Oryzias latipes: one gene and its partner. The protein of the gene in region 1 purifies or fractionates together with the protein of each later gene. This does not show direct contact. Links are inferred from orthologs where the notes say so. Each region holds a gene or a part of one and is shown on either strand. Other genes may lie near its edges.

Region 1 (7,539 bases):
CTGCTCTCTTCAACAAGGCAGCAATAACGCTGCCCCATAAAATCGAGGAGCCTTTTAGCGATGATGTCTGCTCAGACTTGGAAGAACAGGAGCTGAGCCGGGATGAGCTGCGAGCTCGCGCCATGTGCATTCCATTTTCCGCTCTGCAAATCGTCAATATGCCCGTAGAAGAGTTCATGGAGGTTCTGGATAGCTACGGTTTCTCATCGGAGCAGGTAACTCTTCTGAGGGACATCCGCAGACGTGGGAAGAACAAACTAGCAGCTCAAAATTGCCGCAAACGCAAACTAGACGCCATCACAGGGCTCCAGGAGGAGGTGGAGATGTTGCAAGCTCAGCGGGACAGGCTCCTGAGAGATAAACAGCTTACAGCCAAGACGATGGGTGCCGTGGGGCATCAGATAAGGCAGCTGACCAGAGATGTGTTGGCGCGGCTGAGGGATCGTTCAGGACAGCCCTTGAACCCAGAGAGATACACTCTGCAGTGTGGCGCTAATGGGAGGGTTGTAGTCCAGCACATCAGACAACCTGCTGTCTCCACATCTGCCAGCAACAAGACAGACAAGAGGAAAAAAGACAAAAAGCAGTGATGATCGTTTACACACCGAAACTTAGGATTTACCTTTTCTGGGCATATTACTATGCTGAATGGCTTGACTCTGGTTTTGGGATGCCTTCTTTTTTGTTAGTGTATATGGATCCAAAAGCTGCAAAAATAGACATTCATAAAGATAAAATCCTAAAAAGAATATCTGTAAATATTGAGAAAGTTGTAGCTTTCACACTGGACTTTGGCAAAACAAATGGTGCACTTATGGGAACAGCTTAGTGTGTGGCAACTGTACCGGTCTCTTTGTCCCTGCTAAGTTCTAAGACTTTGTGATGGTTACTGCTTAGAGATCACACAAGTGTTGATTCTGTTAGTTTCTATTTACGTTTTGCCTTTTTTTTTTAACCATATCGAAGAAGAGGAAGAAGTAAAAGATTGTATTTATTAAAGTTTTGTCAAAGAGCTCAAAGTGAATATATACACGATGAGACTGTCCAGGACGGTGTCTTTTTATTATAACTTAATCTAAGTGAGCAGACAATTGAAATTTCAACAATCGGATATTGGAGAACACTTTATATTAGATTGATAATTACTATTTAACGATTGGCATTTGACAAAACAAGCGTTTGAGTTTTTGCCTCACTTGTCTTTATGACAGACAGAAAAAAACTGGTAAGATTGACCAAATCATAAAATTGATTTACTTTTGTAAGATAATGAGCATTGTTAGAGGTTACAATAACAAATCTTTTTTAGGTTTTTCCTATTTTCTTGCTAAATAAGTTGTTTGTGGGTATGCAAAAGTGTGCCTTTGATCTAATGACTTTTTTTTTTTTTTTTTAAGTTTGCTGAAGTTGACATTTTCGTGAAAAAATTACAATCACAAACTCTCGGTTTAAATGTTGTTGATTTGGTTTCATGTGCTTTCTGTGACATTTCTATCTGTTTCTGCCATTTCCTGTGTGAGCACATTGCTACATATCTGTTTACTTCAGGATAAAAAAAATACTCCCAAGTTTTCCACTTGATTTATTTAAACTTACATTTCAAAAACCTTTTCCATTTTTTTAAATGAAATTCTACCTCAGGTTTATTTTTTTTTCCTAATCCCTTTTTGACTAATTTGAAAGGTTTGGTGAACTTAAGTGTACTTGTATAATAAAATATTCATTATTACTGTGACCCCAAACAGATAAGCTGTCCAGTTACTTAAAAAATCTATCAGCAAGGCAAGATGTAACCCTTTAAATATTTGTCATTATGCAAAGGGATTGCTATGAAAACTATGGGTTCACAGCTTTACAAAGTCAGCCAAGTGTGTGAAATAATTGTGGAGTGCATGAAGTGACATTTTTCTTTTCCTGGTTTAGCTTAAAGTTTACTTTTCTGTCTCTAAGTTTCGCAAATGTGTGTCTTTCTTGTTTTTTGATTGTTTGCTTGTTGATTGCTGATAGTATGGTTTTTCTTGAAGAATTTAGGCGCTTTTGGGGGATTTGTTTACTCTGAATAAAAAAAGAAAGTGGCATTCTTGTTGTTTTTTCTGATAAATATAAGATTATTGTTCACATTTTATGTGTACCTTTAAGTCTAAGCATTTTTTAAAGTGGGGTGAATGTCTTTCTCCTAACTTAAGTACTTTGCTAGTGCTTTAAGTTTTTATTATTATTATTAATCCAAGTACAACTCAAATCACACCATTTGGCCAGTGCTGTAGTTATTTGGTATTGTCAAAAATGGTAAAGAAGACATTTTGACAAAATTACAATTTTTCTAGCAGAGAATTTTTTACTAACTCGGTTCACTTGGTGTAGAAGATATTGTTCACTATTGCAAATAAAAATAAAAAAATAGAAACATTTGGATTGCAAAAGTGTAGACTGAAGCACAGATCATTTTATTTCGCCTTCACACTTATAGCAAAGGTATTGCTTTAGTGTAACTAAATTTAACAGACAACCTTATATTTATCAAGTAAAGATTACTGAAAATGAATCACTTTACATTTGATAATCACATTGAGACAGTAAATAATTTTCACAGCTTTAAACACTGATACTTAATTTTTTTCACACTCAATCAATACAACTGCACTGACACAATATTGTTTTGTGTATTTGTTATTTTATTTAGGGCTTTATTATTAGGATTCTATGCACCCAAATTCTGTAGATCATTCTATAGCAGGTAAGTTGGTTTGCATAAAATAAACATTTTTTGTAGTATTCTTTAGTAACACGAGTTTATTTTAGCTCAGAAGTCATTTGTAAGCGTCAATATCAAAAAAACTCAAGACATACAGAATATTTAAAACACAAAAACAACTATAAGCTGTTCCTTTATTAGTGAAAACGATAGAAATGTGTCAATGTTTTAAACATGCTGCAAAGCTTTACTCGTGTATTCTCATTTTTCATTTAAAATGAAAAAACATATTTTAAAGATTGTGAGATAAACCGTTATATAAACTGAGAAAAAATAAATGACGTAAAAATAAACTAACAGGACACCGTAGAGTCACAAGTGCTCTAAAGCAAATTGTTTCCTTACGGGCTTCCGTAGCCTACTCGCCTTTTGCGTTTGGCGCGCACCCTCCTTTCTTCATCTGTACATAAAGACAGGCAGTGACCGCGTGGTTGAATAAGTCGTCACCGAGGTCATTTTCTAGGCTTTACAAGGTATGTAAGCTACGTTTACCGGTATTAAATGCTGCATCTCATCTCTTTGTTTTTGAACTTTTTTTCTTAAATAACTAAGACGTAAGGAGTAATTTAAGCTAACTTCTTCATCATAGAAATGAATGCAATGAACCGAACAGAATTTGTATTTGACTCTTCACAGCTCAAGCTTTTTAAGTTTATCAAGCCCGAGTGTTGTATGAATAGTATACTTTTAGTTTTAGACTGTTGATTGTCTCGTTTTGCTATTGCTATTAACTTAACACTAGCACGAACAATCTTTCGTTTTTTTGTTGGGTGTCGATATTGCTGTATTGTTGTAATTATTTGAGGCGTTAAGGTAAGATCTAAAGAAAACACGTTTTTGTAGCATGTTGATGTTCCTTTTTAGTAAAAAGATATAAACAATGGTACCATGGCCTCAAACTGTTTTGGCTACGTTAGCATGTTGGCTAACCCAAAGGACGCTAGTACCATTTACGGAAAACTTGCGGAGTGAACGTGGCCGAGTCGCGTCCGTCGTAAAAAGTTGGAAAAACTAAACACACACATGCTGTACACCTTTATATTTACGGTACAAGCCTTTCTGCTAAATGTGGGTCCTACAGGTGAAGTGGAAAAGGGCAGTTGCGTGATACATCGGCAATTGACTCTCCTTCCTCTTGGTTTTAGAGGCCAGAATGGGCAAGAAGCAGAATACAAAGAGTAAGAAGGACTCACAGGACACGCAGGAAGAGCCAGAAGAATTTGTTGTGGAAAAAGTACTCGACCAGCGTCTCGTCAATGGGAAAGTAGAGTTCTACTTGAAGTGGAAAGGATTTACAGAGTGAGTTAACTGGAGCCTCTCCAGCTAGTTCTTTAGAATGGGGAAGGGGGGTTGGCCTGTTTACTCTGTTACCACATTTTTATGTGGTTAAGGAATCAGACATTTACAATAGATTAGCATGAGCCTTAGATCCAATTTTAAAGTTTTTGTACATTTATACTATGATTCTTAATTTGACCCCTCCCCCTCCTTTAACTTGAGCTTTCATTTAGCTAAAATTAGCCAAATTTTTGGCCTCGATTTTCCTTCTGGCTTATGGGTATACAAAATGGGCTGAATACTTCAGGAAAAGAACAAGACAATTGGCTCGAATGTGGCAAGCATCTGCCCTTTTTCTTTGTTTTCCACTCACGCTGTAACTACCCATATAACGTAAACCAAAATTACAAATAGTTCATTTACATGCAAGAAGACACCAGATTATATGCTTTAGACAATTTTCTCATAACTTGACCAGTCTTGTTATTTTTTAAAGAACACCAGATTGCCCTGATCACTTGATAACCCAGATCATTTGGATCTGATTGGTTTCAGATTGTTCTGAACATGTAGTAAAGTCATTTTTGCATGAAGCTGCTAGTGTTCTCCGCATCCTGTTAGCTTTACATTTTTTTTAAAAGTCATGATTTATATGCAATTGATCACAGCCCTCTTAACTATTTAGTGCTGACAACACCTGGGAGCCGGAGGAGAACCTGGACTGTCCTGAGCTGATTTCTGCATTTTTGGAATCACAAAAGAATATTAAGGAGAAGCCTGCTGCTGTTAAAAGGAAAGCCTCCACAGATGAGCCAGAGACAGAGCCCAAGAAGAAAGACATGGTATGTCACAATGTCATTGCAGTACTTTGAGCTCAGTTCTAATTAGTCATTCTTCCATTTTAAAACTGTTTTCTGAATGTTCATGTGCTTCCACTTTAGGCTGAGAAACCACGTGGCTTTGCCAGAAACCTGGAGCCAGAGCGAATTATTGGAGCAACTGACAGTAGCGGGGAGTTAATGTTTCTGATGAAATGGTACATTTTTATAGAATGTCTCTGACTGTCTACTAGACAGAACCTTTAAAAGATGTTTATGAAATGAAAAAAATTATAAGATAAACATCCCACTTTAAAATCTGGTTCATAGGATTATCATTGTAAAACTCCTCACTACACACTTTATACACTTTTCTCAGACAAACAAACATTTTCACACTTTTCTCTCTTGTTTAAACTCTCAAATAAGACAATAAGTCCAATATTTTAGAAAGCAGACAAAAATCTGGTCACAATGGAAGATGTTTGTAATGGGCAAGCTAAACGCATTTGTACAGGAGACATGGGAGGGAGGAGATGGATGACATGGTCATCAACCAATCAGGATCCAGAGGGCAATCAAAATAAACATGCAAAGATATTTATAAAAATTTGAAGCAGCGATAGATAAACCACAGCATAGGGAGGGGTTAATGTAAAACTTGTTTTAGGTGAGCAGTACAATTTGGCCCAGAATGAAAACTTCTAGTTTGAACGTTGTTCACATTTTCTCTTAACTTCATTGGTTGGTTCACAAAAGAAACATTGTGGAAAGATGTTATTTATTGTGGAATATCATATGACTAATTTTTTTAAAGTAGTTTTATGTTGAATGTTTTTTTTTTCCATTTGTGTAACGCTGTTTAATTTTTTACAGGAAAGACTCCGACGAAGCGGATTTGGTCCCGGCCCGTGAAGCCAACACTCGCTGCCCTCAGGTAGTCATATCCTTCTATGAGGAGCGACTGACGTGGCATTCCTGTCCAGAAGATGAAGCTCAGTAACTGTTGTAGTTTGTGCTGTTCTTTGCATTACCTCTGCTCCTTTCTCAGGACGTTCTGTGCTCCTGTTTCCTGCCTTATCCTTCTAGTTACATGAATTACATAGATTTTTTTTTTTTTTACGCTTGTGTGGTTTTCAATGAGCTTTAAGGTTGTATATACTGGTTCAAAGCTTTTTGAGCTGTCAAAGGTTTTGCAATGTATGATCATTGAAGTCTTCCAAAGTATCTCATATTAAGGACCACTAAGTGTCATACATGTCATAACAACTCTAATTGTTAACAGTTTTAGTGCCTGCACTCATTCTTCCTGTTTGCCTGCTTTTTTCCCCAAAAACATTTTGTCAACAGTCTGTAAATGTTGTTTCAATTTGTAATAAAAGTTTTATGCAGCCAACTTCTTCTTTTTATCCTTTAACCATTGTTTTTTTTTTTGTTCAATTTCTTGTATTGTGGCATTTCTGCTAAGGTTGTCTTCCCCGTAACTAACAGGTAGTTTTAATAAGTGAAGATGCTCATAAAAGCTCTGGATGCAGTGATCACTCTATAGTGATTAGTGTGTCGAGCATGAGACATGAACTTTGGATATTCCTTTCTTTTTCTGTCAAAACATTTGAGCAAACCATATATAAGCACTAAGCAGTGTTGGTGACCCTTTATTTGTAATGAGTGAATTAACGAAATCCTGGAAAATCCTATGCTTTCGCCCTTACATTTTCAGATTTGATTTGTTTGGAAAAGGGAATTGATAGAAATCTCTTTTACTCTTTAGTTCAATAAATGTTTTTCTATTTCAAAATCTCACCAATGACCCTTTGGTGTATGAAACAAAGTTTATTACATGTGTAGTCTAACTTTTTATTTAAATTCTTCAGCTATCTTACTGTAAAAGGTGACCGTCAACCAAGAAGCTCATCCAGGAGAACACGTAAATGGAAACATTCTTGGTAAATTTAGCATATTAAGGTTTTTTTTATAAAGCCCTGGACATATTTGAAAAAAAATTGTTCTTTCACATTCATAATTTGTGTCCACATTTTAGTATTTTTTGTGCACAAATTAGTAGTTGGAATTAACAATGCTAAATTTGTGACCACAAGTGAGTAATTTAAGGGAACAATTAGTTTTTTACATCATGTTCAGTGCTATGTATCCTTTAACAAAAAGCAATAAACAAAACATGTAGTGGTCCAGATTGTTAATAGGTTAACAAATTATTTTTCTCGTGAAGTTGCATCTTTGTGTTCCAAAGCTTCCTTTTATCTATGGAAAACCTTTTTATTATTTAAAATAATGTGATGTTTTTTGTCATTTGTTGTGAAACACTGAGGTCTAATACCCTTAGGATCCGTTTTAATTTGGACTTTTAATCGAACCACTAAGAAACAGGTTCGCAATGACGCAACGCTTAAGCGCCCGGATTTTGCGCACACCTGGGTCGGATGAGCAATCAAGAAAAAGTCTTTTTTGTTTGTTTTTAATCTAGCGCATGGCGTGTGGGTTTGTTTTAATGTTATATCCATATGTCTACTTGCATTGGCCTCCCCCAAAGCACGGAAGGGTCCCACTGAGCAGCTTACTTACATAACTTCTGTGCACACGAGCTAAACTCTGAACTACAGCCCTGAGCCGGACCAGTTGGTTTAAAGAACAGATTTGTTTTCCACACGCAGCCCTCAGAGAAGAACG
Region 2 (5,998 bases), about 6.7 Mb from region 1:
ATGTGCGGGTTTTTTTTTTTACATTAAAACTTGGAATTTTGGCAACATTTAAATCATTTAAAGCTTTAAGGTTTTCAATTAAATAAACATACAATTAAATTTTCTTGTTTTCTTTCAATGGATTGCTGATGTTTTCAGATGTTTTTCACTTACACTAACTGCCTTTATGGTCTTTACTAAGTTACATCCATAAACCTTAGCTTTTCCATAATCCTTTATCCTCCTCTGATCCTGTCTCTCAGCTTCCTTTTGCCAACAAAGTGAGCCTACTTTGTAAATATCTAATTAAAGGCAGGTTTTAAAGCAATAGATGTTATAATATGGACATACATTGGCTTAAATCCTACCAAAAAAATCAATTCATATAGTATCAACTATAAATGAAGGCCAAAAACGTAAATAGCAAATTAAAGTAAAAAGTCATCTGTTGTTTGATCCATAAGTAACACACATTGATTTTTTTCTTTCTAGTAAAAATGACTAAATCTAGCATATATTTTGCCAATAGACATTACCACTGACTAAATATTAGTTGAAAACAAAAGGCTCACAATTGTTAGCATGATGCTAATACTGTCCAGATTCCAAAATAAAGTACAACAAGATAGAAACATGAAATAGATTTCTTCAAAATACTATTTTAAACGTAGCCTAAAAATGTTAACAATGAAATATTAACATTTGCATGTGTTATTAGTTTAATAACTATTATTTTTCCTAAACTGATAGGACTTAAGGTGTGGGTTTCTGCAACAACACGACAAAAACTCTTAATAAGTACACTAAATGTATAATCAAAAAATGTTTTTACTTAAAGCACAAATGTTAAAACCACAACAATGTCACATTCTTGTATTTATGGTTAGTTTGACTGATCACCATTGTCTGCTGAAGAAACCTAAATAAACCTGTATATTTATAGATTTTGCTTGCTAAATAAACATATACGTCTCTCAAATTTAAATACTACTATTTAAAACGGAGGAATAGATATCTATAAATGTCAGTATATTATGATCACATTAGCATCGTGCACAGCCAGGTCCTAGCTAAAAAAAACGACCTGTTTTACGATAAGAACAATTTATGATGTATACCCTTACGACTGTTATGCTAAAAAATTACAAAGTTCTTAGTGTATGCTTTAGAATTAGTTAAGAAAGTAATAGAACAAGCGTATTATTTTGTATTTATGTCAGAGTTCACGGAAGCTAACGATTAGCATGCTAACACCATGCCATTCTGTGGCAACAGAGTGCAATGGACTCCGAGTAGAACTACTTTGACAAAGATAGCCCTCCGCTTATTTTAAGTGGGTTGCGAAGTGATACTTTTCGCACTTTATAACGTTTCGCAAAAAATCTTACACGATGTTTCTACACGAGTAAATATCACTCCGCCTTGCGTGAATGTAGTACCACTAATAGAGACGGCAAGATCCATTGAGAAAGCGGAAGGATACACGGCGGAGTTCTCGCCGCACAACGAAGGCAGAGTCGAGCGTGTTTATGGTTTCAAATGCTATGAGACATGTCCCGGAGACCAACGGGCGCTGCATTTATTATTTTATAAACCGCAAATTTTAAAGTAACAATTTTAACGAAATAGTTATGTATTTGCCATTTGAAAAGTCCATGTGAGGTAAGTGGACACGTTACACTCTTGTTTGGACTGCATTTCTTACAAAGTAAATGCAACCCCACAGTTAGCTTTTCGGCTAATTTAGCATTGTTAGCTAAAGCTGCTGAGTGAGTGGGGGTTTAAGTCTGGTAAAGCTAGTTTCTATTTAGTAAATGACACATTTAACTGTCTGTATGTAAGATTACGAGAAGAAAAAGTTATTAAAAACAATTTCACGTTGAATCACATTCAGTAATTTGGATGAACATAGCTTTGTAATTTCATGAAATCTCTCATCTAAATAGCACATTAGCTTAGCTTGCTTACCAACAGGGCTAATACATTTGAAGTGTACATGATTTATTGTTTTTAGTTATGAGTATTGATATGAATACAACTTAGTATGAAGTTTTAATAGTGTTAATTAGTCTTTGCTACCAAAAAGGGAAAACTTTTAGCTACAACCACGTTAAACAATAAATCGTAGAGAATTCGTAATTGTAAGCTAGCACGACGATAAGGTGTGAAATCTTTGTCAATTATAGTTAACCCCTTTTCTGCTTGCTCAACCAAAACTTAAAGCATATTTTGAACATTTTTTAAGAAAAGATATTGGCCAATTTTAGTATTGTTTTTAAAGCAACTTGTATAACTTTTGTCAACTGGTGTCATTGTCAAATTGTTGTGGCGTAAAGGATAGTCAAATGTAAAATTTCTGTCTTCATTTTGACATTTAAATACATTTTTGAGATCATTTCAGAACATTTAAAAGTCACACTCCAATCATCTTTTGATCTATTGTAAAAGGGTTCCCAGTTTATACGTTTATTTATTGATTATTGGTTTCATCATCATAATGCAGGTTCTAGCCAGAATCGATAAACCTAGATTCTCATTCTCAGAGCGGAAGTTATTCATTAGAAATTTGGCTCTGAGTTTTGGGCGTAGCTCTGGTTAGCAGAGTAAGCCCACCATCGCTTCCCATAATCCACATATTAACGCACTCTCCTGCTATCTTACAGTCCCTTACAACCTCAACATTATCGGAGCTATCCAGCCAATACAGTTTTTCCAGCTTAGACAGGAAAAACCAAGACGTACTTAGATCTCTGTGTCATCAAGCAGACGCTTGTGGATAGCCGATTGTAGCACCTATGTTACCGCTACAAGCTTTATCAAGCAGCATTTTGATGTCTGCTCCGAATTCAACAGTTTGAAAAAAGAAATACTCAGAAATGCCATTTTAACCCTAATTTCTTTGCATATGTACTCCATCATAACAAAAGCCACGAAAACATGATTAAAAAAAAACACAATTTTACAACACTGTAGATCAAAAGGTGAACAGAGTGGGACTTCAAATATATTCTGAGCTTTTAAATGCAGTTATAACTGCGTAGTTCTTCCAGTGTATGGAAAAAGTAGTCAGTAACTGTCAGGGCCATGGTCCTTACTCTCTTAAAGACCTTCTCCAATGAAAATTGTATTTTGGTATGTGTTTCCTGAGTATTTCTTTATTCAAATAATAGTAAATCAGGATCAGACCAAAAAAATGCCATTTCTACCTATAAAGTACAATTGGCAGGCCACCAGCTCCCTGCTCCGCTCTATTCCAATGCATCAACTTGTAGACAAATAGATCCATGAACGTCTTTGTTGTCCTCGTCTGAGCTGGAATCTGAATCTAAACTGTACGGCTGGATAGCTCTGATTTTGCTGTTTTTATGATGGTGATGTAAGGTTGGGCGTGCGAAGGGCTGTGAGCTAGCGGTACAGCTCGTAAACAAAGGCATTGTGGGAAATGAGAACAGGTTTACTTGCGTGCCAACAGTCCTTCTCACCACTCAAAGGCGGATTTTTGTTGAACTCCTGCCGCTCTGCAGAAAAACGATGTCCTAGCAAACAACACAGTTTTTTTGAGTTTGTCTAAAAACAGGATAACCATAATTAAAAGAACACTGGGAATGCTCTGAAAATAGATCAAAAGATGATCGGAGTGGGACTTGAAGAGCTTTCCTCTATATATAACAGAAAAGCAATTAAAAAATCTAAAGTAAAATTGTTTCTGCTGCTACATTTAAACTATAGATAAAAATGGAAATAATTGCTTTTAAAACTAACTAAAAAGCAATTATTTGTAGATTAGTCAATACTTACAACTATTAGTTGCAATCATATGTTTCTAATTAATAAACAAATCAATTAATAAAACATCAAGAGATCATACACATCAGCATTGGACGGTTTCTTTTAAATAGTTTTTTGTGTCTGTTGATGCTGGATGGGTTGATGAGTAGGGGGGGTTCAAACCTCAGACAGTTTTATTGTATATTTTGGGCATGAAATAGCTTAGTCAGCTTGTTAGTTCATTTTAGTATTTTCCTATTGAACTCTTTGTATTCGTGATCCTTTTGAGTTCATGTTTTACTTCGAAGCCCATCGAGACGACTGTTGTTGTGATTTTGGGCTATACAAATAAAATTGAATTGAATTGAAGTTACATGAAAGTAAAGTAACTTTACTGGATTCCCTCCTTGAGTTAATTTTTTTGTAATATTAAAACAGCTTATTTTTAGGTGTTCAATGTTTCTGTTTTTACCAAAATGTTGCAAGTGTGATTTTTTTTTTTTTTTTTTTTTTAACCGAAGGACTTTGTTTTCAGGTAAAGATGATGGACTGTGATGAGCAGAAGTTTGACGCGTTGGATGACACACCAGAGACGGTGGTTGCAAAACAGAAGCCACAACTGCATGAAGGTTGGACTGATTTTTTTAAACATTTTAGCTGAACAAGAAAGGAGATTGTTTTCTAAAAATAAGTTTGCACTAAAAAAAAGCAGTTCTATGCTTGCTTAAAAGTCATGTAAACTCATTTATATTCATTTGTTTTTGCAAAACATCTACATGTTTTCCTGAAGAAAAATGGTATTGCCAGTAAAAAAATTACAAGCAATAACAATATAGAATTTTGTTGTGTTAACTTATCTGTAAAACTGTTGTTCTTTGCAAACAGACTGGTAGATTAACATAGTCTGCCATAAAATCAGCAATAAAAGCTATTTGTTGTGTTCCTTTGTTTGAAGTACTCTAGTTTATTAATTAGGTATTACTGCTCTGTAATTAAATGTGTTTCGTTCAGTGGTGAGAACATTTGTCAATCTGATGGAGATCAAAAAGGAAAGTGACTCTTCACAAGTCGAGATAACTCCAGTTCCAATTCCGCCTCTGTCTAACTGCAAACTCATGAAAGTCAGCAGCACAGAAAAGGTAAATAAATCCTCATTTTGTGACAGTCATTTATGGTATAACCTGTTTGTCTTTTTGTTTTTTAATGATCACCCCACTCATAGTCTCATATTCTTCCTTACATAAATTCCTTTAGCCTGCAGGTTCATCTCTTGGCTTCACTGTCAATGGCAGACCTGTCAACACGCCATCTGGAGGTCAGTCTGTGTTTTTTAAATAAGCAAGTATTTGTTTTTCCAAAATTCAACTGTGAAGCATTGACAACTTGAAGCATTTTTGTAGTGTATATTATCGTGCAAAACTAGTTAGTTTACTTAGTCATTTAGCATCCTTTCCTTTACATTAAGAATGTGTTTACCGAGATACAAGAAAATAATTGTGACCAAAATAATTGGGATTAAACATTTATCCATCAATTACAGTCGTCTCTGTTTGTAAGAATTAAACTTTCAAGCTGTCCTTTATATTAAAAATAACTATTCTAAGTATTATATTTAATATCATGGGGGGGGGGGGGGTGCATGTGTTTAGTCAGTCATGACTTCTTCTGTCTTAAAGGTGCAGAGTTGAGGCTGTGCTCCCATCCTGGAGGATCCACCAGTGGATTCACCTCCATCCAGATTCCAGTCACTCTGACTGTCCACAGTCCTGCAGGGACGCATTTCTTCAACGCCACAGGCTCCTTAAATTCTTCTGTCACCTCCTCGAGGCTTTCACCTCCTCCTTCTCCTGGAGAACATGACCCCTCACCCAAGTCTGACCCTATTCCCATCATCACAGGTACTCAATGCAACCAACAAAACCCTAACGCCTGCTGATCAGTGCCTGTGAAGGTTTGGTGGTTATTGCATCTACGTTAACGCTCATTTTAATCCAGGTGTGGTCTCAGGCGAAGCAGCGCAGAAGGTTCTAAATGACCACAATGTGAACTTCACAAGTGATTCTCCTTCACAATGCGCTCCTTTTCCCTCTGGTGGGACGTCGCCTCCAAAGTCCAGCCTTCCTCAATGCACACCTCCAGCGGTCCCGAAACAAAAAGGCCTCAACAGCAAACCAGCAGCCAACAAACTCCTACGAAAAGGTTTGGTTCTTAACTGGGGGTCTTTTTTCCCCCTTCTTTGCAGTAAAATATA

Evidence for each region. Proteins that work in one complex are often made in the same cells at the same time.
Region 2: the proteins of chromobox protein homolog 3 (region 1) and pogz purify together in Homo sapiens (affinity purification with mass spectrometry; 7 studies listed by BioGRID and IntAct, with this or other methods). This does not show direct contact. The link is inferred for Oryzias latipes from reciprocal best matches to the Homo sapiens genes CBX3 and POGZ.

Annotation. Positions count from the first base shown.
Region 1 is NC_019869.2:11,213,583-11,221,121, forward strand, and holds chromobox protein homolog 3, read left to right. Parts: upstream 1-3,096; 5' UTR 3,097-3,228; intron 3,229-3,900; 5' UTR 3,901-3,908; coding exon 3,909-4,054; intron 4,055-4,718; coding exon 4,719-4,875; intron 4,876-4,974; coding exon 4,975-5,069; intron 5,070-5,727; coding exon 5,728-5,854; 3' UTR 5,855-6,247; downstream 6,248-7,539. Other genes in the region: nuclear factor erythroid 2-related factor 1-like, read left to right, coding at 1-590.
Region 2 is NC_019869.2:4,535,207-4,541,204, forward strand, and holds the start of pogz (pogo transposable element with ZNF domain), read left to right. Parts: upstream 1-1,466; 5' UTR 1,467-1,641; intron 1,642-4,282; 5' UTR 4,283-4,288; coding exon 4,289-4,376; intron 4,377-4,758; coding exon 4,759-4,886; intron 4,887-5,001; coding exon 5,002-5,062; intron 5,063-5,423; coding exon 5,424-5,645; intron 5,646-5,742; coding exon 5,743-5,946; intron 5,947-5,998. UniProt on the Homo sapiens protein: Plays a role in mitotic cell cycle progression and is involved in kinetochore assembly and mitotic sister chromatid cohesion.